Linked DNA regions of Drosophila melanogaster. The protein of the gene in region 2 interacts with the protein of the main gene of each other region in a biochemical or structural test. Each region holds a gene or a part of one and is shown on either strand. Other genes may lie near its edges.

Region 1 (4,090 bases), about 12 Mb from region 2:
GCTGCGGAATTCGCGGAAAACCGGAAAGACAAAAGTTCTCGGGCGCTTTTCAAACGGATTTTCTAACATTCGACGCCATTAATACGAACTAATTGCTTTTCTCACAGAGATGATCATACAATTTGTCCGGCAGTAAATTACTTCCAAAGTCGTGTGCAGAATGTCTGGCATTGTTTGTGTCAATTAATATTATTGTAATGCCTATGATGTGCATTTATCATATAGAGAATGAAAATTGCACATAACCTGCCGCTGGCAATGCGAACAGGTTTTCTAGTCTGTGACTAAATTTAAACTTGAAACTGCCCTTCGGCTAATGGAACTGCTAGAACAACTATGGAAAATCTAAAATAAATCTTAATAGCTAAAAAGCCCATAGCCCGAAATATATTGCAATGAAATGACAGTTATGTTAAGCATAGATTAACACGGAACAGAAAAAAACAGAAATGCAGTCGAACTTTCATAACTGGAACAAGCGAGCACCTGTTTCAAATAAACAAAAAATCAAGTTCTGGAGTCTTAAGATCTTAAGTGCTTGTCTTAAGAAGACAAGGAGACTTTAACCTTTTATCAGATTAGATAGATTTGGAATAAATTATTGTTTCGACGCAAAGATCTTTAAATTTTAAAACTTTAACTTCTTTTGAAAGTTTCCCTTATGGAGGTTCGACTGTTTTGAAATTTGTAAAATTGTAAATTTCTCACCGTGGCAAAGAAGGCGAACAGCAGCAGCAGGACTTTGAACAGCGATATCCACATGGGCGTCATCATGCTCGATCTCGGGCTTAATCAATTGGATTTATAAATATATATAGATTCTGCGGACGGCGAACGTCTGCGTCGGGGATTAGTAATAGTATATAGCAGGTGATTGGCGGATCGGTGGCGTCTTATACCAATTTTCTTATTTCTACAACTTTGTTATTATAGCGCCGGCTGCTGTTGTTTTTTAGTGATCTGTGCGTTTTTTTCTTTTTATGGGCTTTGCGTATATAAAAAATAAACAAACTGGCACGACTAAATGTTAATGCCGGGCCTTTATACTGGTAGCTGGTGTTACTGTTGCCTCTTATTTATTTATAAATATTTTGTGCGGTGGCTCTGTGTGATATGTTGGCTATTCCGTTTTGTTTGTTTCCTTTGCACGTTTGCGAGACACACAGACAGACACTTCAATTAGTCGGTTTGCTTTTCACTTTAGTTTCGCTCTCGCCGCTTTAGTGGAACCGTTTTCGGATCGGTTCGATTTGGTTGCTCTGATGAAATGCCGCGATATTGATATCGTTTATAACCGATTTGGCTTGCAACTGGGCAATGGGCTATCCAAGTAGCTGATCGCAGGATATGTGAGTCTTCAACTTTTCGGCTCTGTGCGCCGTCTTTGAGTGACACGAAAAGCTCGAGATGAATGCGCTTTTATGGACCTCAAGCCCGATACCATCTGCCACCGATCTTAAGTGTTTATAGCGACGCGCGCTGGGATTTTCCGGTCAGATCGAGAGTTTCACCATATCTCCCGGGCATGCAGAGTGTTAAGCATTAACCAAGTTCGATTTCGACTGCGATTTCGATTTGGATTTCTCGCGATCGAGAACACACGACAGCGAGAGCGCACGTCTGGGAGGCAACTGAAAATGAAAAGTGGAGCCCAGAGGCCGCCGACTCGACTCGTCTGCTCCCCCAAACAATTGCTCAGTGCTTAAGTGCAGCTTTAAGCTAGCTTGCGAGAGTGTGAGCGGGAGCGGGCGCTGTGCGCGAGCGAGACGCCGCCGGTCAGAGGCGGTGGAAGCGGGATGGGTAGTGAGCGCGAGGGTCGTGCGAGGGAGCGGGACGTCTGGGCGAGCGGACCGCGATTTTATCACAGCTGACTCCGAGCAGTGCTACTAATTGCGCCTGCTTCACGAAAAACTTTACCAGTCGGAATTATCTGAATCATATTACACTTGGAGAAAAGTAAGTGCACATCAAACTAACACTATAATGACTAACGTTTTTAATTACATCTGTTGTTAAACCAAATACAAATCACTGGAGCTTTAAGAAGAATATCAAACCCTCAATTGTACTATTTTAACACATAAGTTAAAAACATACTTTCAAAAACTAATTCCATACAAACATTTTATTCATTCTAATCAGCATAGTTGCCATAAAGCTTTGCATAAAATGTACATATCGTTTGAGTGGCATTTGACACCAAAAATTAACTTCGTTATCGCAAAATTTTTTAAAACAAATATTACGAAAAAGTTAGAGCAGCCACAGAGTAATGTTTGGATGCCTCGAAGTCAGAGCTTTGTTATCTGCGGAAGTCAATCAAAGCTGCATTTTGGATGATTAAGTTTCCGTTTGAAATAATGAATACTGTACTTAATAAACACTTATGTACAAATTTGCCCTTTTCGTCGACCCATTTTAGTAATTAACTATTATCTGTCCGCTTGTTATTGAACATACGCGATTAGAGATTTATTGCTTTTTTATTAGGTATACTTAAAGAAGCAGCGATTGAATTATCACTTTTATTTAAATCCAGAAAGAAAACAAGTTTATAGGTAGCCCGAAAATATAGAAATTTCCCCGAGCTGAAAATAACCAAACTTTGTGGCAAGTGGGTGGTTGATTACCACCTTCTCTATCGGGCTAAACCCATGTTAGCCAAGTGTAGGGCTTCTCACAGTCGGTCAAGTTGACCTGTGAGAAGGTGCCGGCCAGCACTTGTTGCTGCTGAAAGTAAAAGTGGTGCCGGGCCAAAGCTCGGCATCAAAGCTCGCGGAGCACAACTGCTCTGCTCTCGGCACCACCACCAATGAAACTATCCCCACGTTGGAGCCCATCTAATATTTCTAACACATTTGATATTCCGAACGGGTGCCGCAAACGCCAGTTCCGTTGGCGCACGCGTCATGGGAGCCGCAGATCCGAATCGCTTAAATTAGCCCGCCAGTCGCCGCCTTGGAGCGTGCTGAGGCGCTTGGGAAAGATGGTGACTCAATTGGTATTTCCGAGAACGGCGGACAAAAAACCGCATCTTTAAGTCGCACACTGCAAGTAATCGCCATGTAAACGGCATCTGACGCAGTCGTGCCTGAATGGATCTACCTTGTGTGCTTATGTTTATGGCCCAAAGTGGATGTCGTTCGCCATGGAAAAACGGGAACTTCTTAGCAGAATGCATTTTACTTGGCCATATCTACTCATAGCATAGCCTTTCCCCCGAATTATGCACCAATGACTGAGTTGAGGCCATTTCGTAGAAACATCAGCTGCACTGTTGATTCATAAGAATTTCTTTATCAATTAGTACGTAATAAAATGCAATGAAGGGGGGCTGTGTAAGTAGATAACTAAATTGCATGATGATGCAATTTTGTATTATTGTAATGCCCATACATATCTGTTCTAAACAATCTAAAATTCTCAGAAATCAATTAAATCCTCAACTGAACAAACCATTTCAATATATTACGATTGCATCAAACTTGTTTAAATCTACTTGCATACTTTAGGGATCTATTAAGCTTGTGGTGCATATATTTAGGAGGTTTCCAAATTGTATTTTTATGAGCTAAGTTAATGTATATAATTTCAGCTTCCACTATCCTAAATGTTAATTTGAAATCCATTTAGCAGTAAAATTTTAAGTTAGCACCGCCTTAACTAACTTCATTAATTACTTTCAGCGAAACGGCTAAAGTTACAACTTATTAGTAAACATTGAATCATACGTTTGTCTGAGAATTGATACATTGGAAAAGGTCAAGACTTTTCACAATGTCTTGCAATAGTTGTAGTATGATTAACTTTGTAAAGCTTTGAATACCTGTTAATATGTGCGTAGATTAGCTTTAATGAGCAAATATACTTCCTCTTTTAATTTTAATCATTTTATGTATCATATTAGCACAAACTTTGCGAACATTAGGTAAGCCTAAACTGTTAATTTGAAGTGCCAAATGAAAATCACAGAGCTTAAGTAATTAAGGTGCCATTTTTCCAACGACTTGATCCAATTAACCTAATAGTTATTAATCGAGAGGGAAACGAGCTCATTTAGGACGCCCATTAATCGATGTGGCACCTTGGC
Region 2 (6,810 bases):
CAAGCAGCAGCAAAAGAAGAAGGAGAAGCCAGAGGCCAAGAAGGAACAACCCAAGGCCAAGGAGCCAGCCAAGCAGCAACCAGCTTCTAAGGATCCACGTACTATCACCGGAGGCGTGAAGATTGTGGATCAGGTCGTCGGCAAAGGCGAAGAAGCCAAGCAGGGCAAACGCGTATCTGTTTACTACATCGGCCGCCTGCAGTCGAACAACAAGACCTTCGACAGCCTCCTGAAGGGAAAACCATTTAAGTTCGCCCTGGGCGGCGGAGAGGTCATCAAGGGCTGGGACGTGGGAGTCGCCGGCATGAAGGTGGGCGGCAAGCGAGTCATTACCTGCCCCCCGCACATGGCGTACGGCGCACGGGGAGCTCCACCGAAGATCGGACCGAACTCCACTCTCGTCTTCGAAGTGGAACTGAAAGCTGTGCATTAGTGCACTATATTAACATCATATAGACTTGTAATCCTAAGTAAGTATCCACGTCGTACAACTTGATAAAAATGTTAAATAAACTCTGTTTTCCGGCTGTTCATAAATCAACAGTTTTGTAACAATCGCATGTATTTGGTATGGGGTCTCTAAGGGGTTTTTTCGGGTGAACATACATCCAGCAGGGGCTCAGACTGGAGTTTCCAGTGCTCGAGTACGTAAGGCAGCCGTTCGCTGGGATCTGTGCTCCAGTGGTGCAGACGACACTTGAGTCGCGCCTGTTCCAGCTTGTTTATGGTCACAGTGCAGTAGAAGTCCTTGTTCTCCTTCTTCAGGTCGGGTCCCTCGATGCGCTCCTTGGGCAGGGTAATGCACTCCTCGCGACAATAGAACCCAGTCTTGCGCAGCGAGGCCTTGATGTGCCAGGGCTCGAGCACCCATGGCTCATCCTTGTTCATGACCACCGCCAGCACAATGGTCTCCAGCATGTTGACCGTGCGCTGGGCGTAGGGGGAGCTGTGTTTAACAGTCGATTTTTCAGCCTCTGTCTTGGCGTACTTGGCCACATTCTCCGGCGTATTGTACGCGGCCAAACCCGGCAGCAGGAGCTTATTGTAGACAAAGTGCGGCTTCATTGACACCACGTCGCCCTTGTCGCCAACGCCCTCGACGAAGGTCTTTAGCACCACCTCGATGTTGGGCCGCTTTTTGACCAGCGTGTCGTCCACGAGCTCGTAGATGAAGTTCTTGGCCCTCATCCGGCGGGGTTTCTCGTTGGTTTTGTGCAGCGGCGGGTCATATTTGCGCTTCAGGACGAACGTGGTCTGGAAGCAAATTGGTGGTGAATGGGGATCGCTTCCCTAATCCAGGAGAGCACTTACCCGCACTTGCTGCTGCAGGCTGGTGGCCGATTTAAGCAAATTTAACGGCGTTACGTAGATGTTCTTCAACATTTTTACCACCAATATGTCTGCGTTGCCAGACTACTCAGCCAGTTTGCAGTGTTGCCAGATATGATTATTTAATCTGCGTGAGTTCAGCAGTAAAATTTTCAGTGACTTTGAAAACGATTATGAATTTAGTTTTTTTATTGCAACTATTTCTTTACATTTTAATAAAGCAAAATAATTTGCCCAATTTACCTTTTAATTGATTAAAAAAAATGTACCTTTGAAAGTATTATGACTGTCAATTTTAATTTAATAGTTTCATTACAAAATAAAAGATTGACTATGCCAATATTTCGGCGAACGCGCCCATCGACATGCAGTATGCGTACACGCTGTGAAGCAGTTTTTAAACGGAAACCGTTAGTCGAATTTATTTACAATATGACATTTTACAATCAGGACTCAATAGTGTTTTGTATCCAATCAACGTACTTGCCCACCAGCGTGTAAACTCCTGGCCATCCGGCCAGACCGCACGGAGTCGGTCCAAATGACACGACGCCGGCCAGGAAGTAGTAGGTGTTCACCTTGTTGGTGTCCAAGCCGATGAGCGGTCCCCCGGAGTCACCGCGACAGGAGTCGACGCCTTCCTTGCCGCCGGCACACATCTGTGTGTCCTCGAGGAGAATGTCCTGGCTGCTGTAGACGTTCTGGCACTCATCCATCCGGAATCCCTCCACGGCTGCCTTCAGCTTGAGGTTGCTGGCCGACAGCTGCTCCGTTTTGCCCCAGCCGGCCACGTCCATGGTGATGCCGTCGAAGGTGGCCGACCGCAGATTGACGTCCAGAGGCAGGCAAATGGGTCGCACAAAGTCGGTGTACTCCACCTGCTGGGCCAGACGCAGCAGGGCTATGTCGTTGACCTGGTTCTTGGAGGCCGGTATATAGTCGGGATGGGGTATAGTACGCTCCACGGGCACGTCCAGATGCGGTGGCGCGCAGTCCTTCATGCCGCGCACATCTACTTCGCAATCGGGATTAGTGTTGGTGTCCCATTCGCCCAAACGAACACCGGACAACCGCCAGTCGGTGGGCAGTGCCTTTCCGTTGACACAATGCGAGGCTGTGATCACATATCTTGTGCTGATCAAGGATCCGCCGCAATGGTGACCCTTTTTGCCCTGGCCTGCATGTAGGAATTAACCAGTGGATAAGTGCGTTCAGACTTAAGACGATGCCCCTCTACTTACTTTTGGTGTATTCAATTAGAGCCATCCAGGGGAACTCGTCGATCTTGGTCTTCATTCCGCCATAGATGCGATTGGACAGGATGTTGCCGCATTGTCCTGGCAGCGGCAGAAGGCTGTTGCTGGTTACATTGGGCTTGGGCGGTGGCGTCGTCTCCGATGAGCTCTCCCTGTAGCGGTCCGGACAGCAGATGAGCACCTTGCCGTTCGTATAGCCGCACTGGCTGCGACTCAGGTAAAGCCGGTCCGTGTCCCGGAGCGGGGTGGTGGTCAGCAGGCCGTATAGGTACTTGCAGTCCTCCAGATGGATGCACAGCGCACGCTCCCGATTCGGCGTTATGCAGCGCCCATAGTTGGGCACCTGGGCCGCCTCGTTGGGGAAGTAGAACTCTGGAAATCCAGACTTTAGGTTCAGAGAGCTTACCAATATTGTGAATACATAAATTAGGTCATTAGCTATGGAAGTACGGAAACAGGTTTCCAGCGACTTGTGAAGGCCCGCGGCAAAAAAAAACAAATACGTTAAGCTAGTCATGTCCAGCAGATGAGCATCTTGGCAGTCTTCTATTTACTTACGGCCCGCCGATGATTTCGCCAAAATGCCCAAAAAGAGGCAGATAATCGATGGCTTTAGCATTTTCGTTGCGCAATCGGACCTCGTTAGTCCTTTCTCAAGACGTCGTCAGTGGTTTGCGGATAATGTTTTGCCTAAAAACAATATTACAGACCGACCGCAGAAGCAGTTATCAAAATAAACGGCGCGATAATATGGACGATACCAGGTGCCACAGCGGAGCGGAGTGAAACGAAGAGGCCGAAGCTGAGCTTGGCGCACAACTGAATCTTCGGACGGACGCGGTTCTCGGCCTGCGAGCTTTGTCGCAAGCTTTTTGGCGAGTCTCCAAATCAGATATGAAGATAATCGTGGGAGCAGATCTTTATCTCTCTTCCAATTATTATTCTTAGTAATTGTCAGTTGGCTTATTTAACTTTGGTACTAATAGAATTTACTTTGTCACATGCTGAGTGTAAGTAAAGTACTCGGCAAATTTAAGGGAGTATCTACCATTATTTAATCCCCGCCTAAGTTCGATTGTATCACATGGTGTTTTGATAGCAAAAAGCACTATCATTAACGATAAGCTAACGGTATATTTCGTTCTACAGCAAACTGAAAGTTCTACCGACTTTAAATCGGACCTAAAGCAAAGTTTAAAGTCGCAGTTTAAATTGCAGCGGTCGCGTTGCCAAACAACACAGTATGACCGAATTCGCAATGTTGTTTGCCACTGTTTTGGCAACTCGCATATAGCGGTACGTCGCAGCTGGTGATAAGTTAAATGTTTAATTTAAAAAATGAGCGTGGATATTTAGTAAAGGTCGAATAGGCGGCAAGTTTGGAGATCGGCAGTGGTGTAAGTAGTACGTCGCTTGAGTGCCGAGTGAGTGCTGTATGTGCAGCAATAATGCGAATGCAAGTCTCATGTGTCTGGTCCGATATTTGCAGCTCATAATTTATTCAAAATGCGCTTTGTGCGGCGGGGAACTGTCCCCAAGATTGCAGCATGTTGCTGTGTGGTGGTCCTGCTGGTCACCTGGTATGTGTTGAACGTGGAGCGGGATCTGGATAAGAGCCTCAAAATGTAAGTATGTCTAGTTGTGCGTCACAGCGGCTTGGGATATTGATTGTACGATGTTTGTCCATACATATGTATATGTACATATGCGCATATTTGTGATAAAGAGTATTTATCTTTTGCAACTAATTCAATTTTGTATTTAATTAAAGCGAAATCATCGAGCGCTCCATAAGATCGGCTGTGAATCGTGGCGAGTGCCGGCATCCCCATCTGCCGCTGGACAATCCGGACATCATGAAGTTCTACAAGCCGGTTGAGCGAATAAACTGCGGCGAGGGCATGGACTGGGTCATGTGTGAGGTTGGTTGGGACTGGGCCCCTTCTACAAGAGCTGATTGCTTAACTTAAACCTCGTTTCCCCCAAAGAAATCCATTTGCTTTGTGCGACCAGAGATTGCGTCCAGCCACGAGGATGTGATCTGCTCCTACACGGACATTATTCGCAAGTCGGACTACAAGGTTCGCTTTGGGCAGTCACTGCGCATGAAGGAGCCCTATGTGCTGCAGGCCAGCGACTTTGTCAAGGTGGTCTGTCGATCCTCCAGCGGCGAGAGGTGACCATTATCTTATTTTATAGTTATGCCTATACTTTAAAGAATGATCTTCATGTACTTAGTTGGTTTGGCATGGCCCACGGAATACGGGATACGGTGCCCCGTCCACCGGCCTCCAATTTCTCCCCGAACTTGGCCGTCCTACCACCCGAGGCGGTTGCGCAGGCCCAGCAGCAGATGCAGGATGGGGCCACAGCTCCCATCTACAATGTCCTCATGTTTGGCTTCGATTCGCTGAGTCGCAATGCCTTCATTCGCAAGCTGCCCAGGACCTACGAGTATCTCACCCAACAGTTGGGCGCCACCGTTCTCAAAGGCTATAACATTGTGGGCGATGGTACGCCACAGGCGCTGGTGCCCCTACTGACGGGTTTCACGGAACTGGAGCTGCCGGAGACAAGGAAGCGGTTGTCCGGGGCAGGCAGCGTGGATTCGTATCCTATGATTTGGAAGGATTTTGCCCGCCTGGGATATATGACCTCCTTTAATGAGGATTTGCCCAATGTGGGCACTTTCACGTACCGCATGACAGGGTTTGAGGCCCAGCCGGTGGACCACTACCTGCGTACCTACTATGTCCAGGCGGAGCACATGGCCGCCGAGAGCAAGCCCAACTGCATTGGCCACCAGCCTGATCACATCACCATGCTGGAGTACACAAAAAACGTATGTTCTCTTTCGAAATGTGCTTGGAAACTAACTCATTGTATAATTTTCGTACAGTTTATGCTTAAGTATCGCGATGCACCGCGCTTTGCCTTCAGCTTCCATGGCGGCTTGTCCCACGACTCCATCAACTTAGTGGGAGCAGCGGATGATGATGTCCATGACTGGCTGGTGGCGCTCAAGGAACGATCGCTGCTAGACGACACCATTCTCATCATGATGGCCGATCATGGCAATCGATTTGCCGAGGTGCGAGCCACTCTGCAGGGAAAACAGGAAGAGCGTCTGCCGTTCTTCAGTTTCGTATTTCCCGAGTCGTTTAAGAAGCGCTTTCCGCAGGAGTACAAAAACTTTCTGGCCAACGAGCATCACCTGACCACGCCATTCGACATTCATGCCACGCTGAAACACGTAATACGTATGTACGACAGAGCGTTAGACATCTACAAGATAATAATGCTGGATTTTTCACAGAACTGCAAACCGCTGTGGATCAATTTGGAGAAATAAACGATCCGAAAACTGAAACAAGCCCGCCTGGGATTCGCATCTCGGAGTTAGCCCGTGGACGTGCCATGTCGCTGTTGGATCCAATTCCGAGCAATCGATCCTGTGCGGATGCCTACATAGAGCCTCACTGGTGTGCCTGCCTCAATTGGCTGCCATTGCAGCTGAACGACTCCCGGTATACGGGCATCATTCTCAAGGCTGCCCAAAGTATTGTAAATGCCATCAACTTGGCCACAGTCGAGCAACGCCAATACTGTGCACCTCTGGAGGTTCGAATCATCAATTTAATGATTACATTTCCAGATAAGATAAAGATCATACTTCCATTTGTTTCATTGTTCAACAGATTCACCGTGTAAATTGGGCGCTGCGTCTGCAGCCGCACAAGGAGCTGCTGCAATTCAGGACAAACAGCGACCGCGACGGCTTCCTGGCGGACATGACGGGTCAGACGCTGGTCCGCGATGAGATGTACCAGCTCCAGGTGGTAACGATGCCCGGCGAGGGACTGTTTGAGGCGAGCGTGGCCTATAGCCTGCACACGTTCAGTGCCACAACGAAACTCACGGACATCTCGCGCGTCAATAAGTATGGAAATCAGGCCCGGTGCATATACGACCGGGATCCGGAGCTGCGGAAGTACTGCTACTGTCGCGATTGATTTGTGCACAAAATGACAAGTCCAAAACATAGAAACTGCTAAGCAATCAACTGGAATAGATTTCTGCACTGATTGTAGATTTTAGATTACTCCTTCCAAAGAATATTGTCACTGGCTCCTTAAGTTAAAAGATCTGCCTCAGTTTGTAATATACGTTCCTTTAATCAACGATAGTAATGAGTTAATAAAAAAATGACATTTTTGTATGTGTA

What was found. The genes of interacting proteins can lie anywhere in the genome.
Region 1: of the proteins of ea (region 2) and spz, one has a biochemical effect on the other in vitro, tested with the Drosophila melanogaster proteins (3 studies listed by BioGRID).

The regions. Positions count from the first base shown.
Region 1 is NT_033777.3:27,068,436-27,072,525, forward strand, and holds the start of spz (spatzle), read right to left. Parts: upstream 1,636-4,090; 5' UTR 775-1,635; coding exon 709-774; intron 1-708. UniProt on the Drosophila melanogaster protein: The activated form, spaetzle C-106, acts as a ligand for the Toll receptor. Binding to Toll activates the Toll signaling pathway and induces expression of the antifungal peptide drosomycin.
Region 2 is NT_033777.3:15,325,327-15,332,136, reverse strand, and holds ea (easter), read right to left. Parts: upstream 3,409-6,810; 5' UTR 3,205-3,408; coding exon 3,144-3,204; intron 3,055-3,143; exon of another isoform or gene 2,958-3,054; coding exon 2,571-2,957; intron 2,507-2,570; coding exon 1,776-2,506; 3' UTR 1,729-1,775; downstream 1-1,728. Other genes in the region: Fkbp39 (FK506-binding protein 39kD), read left to right, coding at 1-433; mRpL9 (mitochondrial ribosomal protein L9), read right to left, coding at 580-1,254, 1,312-1,383; CG6236 (uncharacterized protein), read left to right, coding at 4,092-4,210, 4,357-4,507, 4,574-4,761, 4,824-5,427, 5,485-5,845, 5,902-6,206, 6,284-6,598. UniProt on the Drosophila melanogaster protein: Component of the extracellular signaling pathway that establishes the dorsal-ventral pathway of the embryo.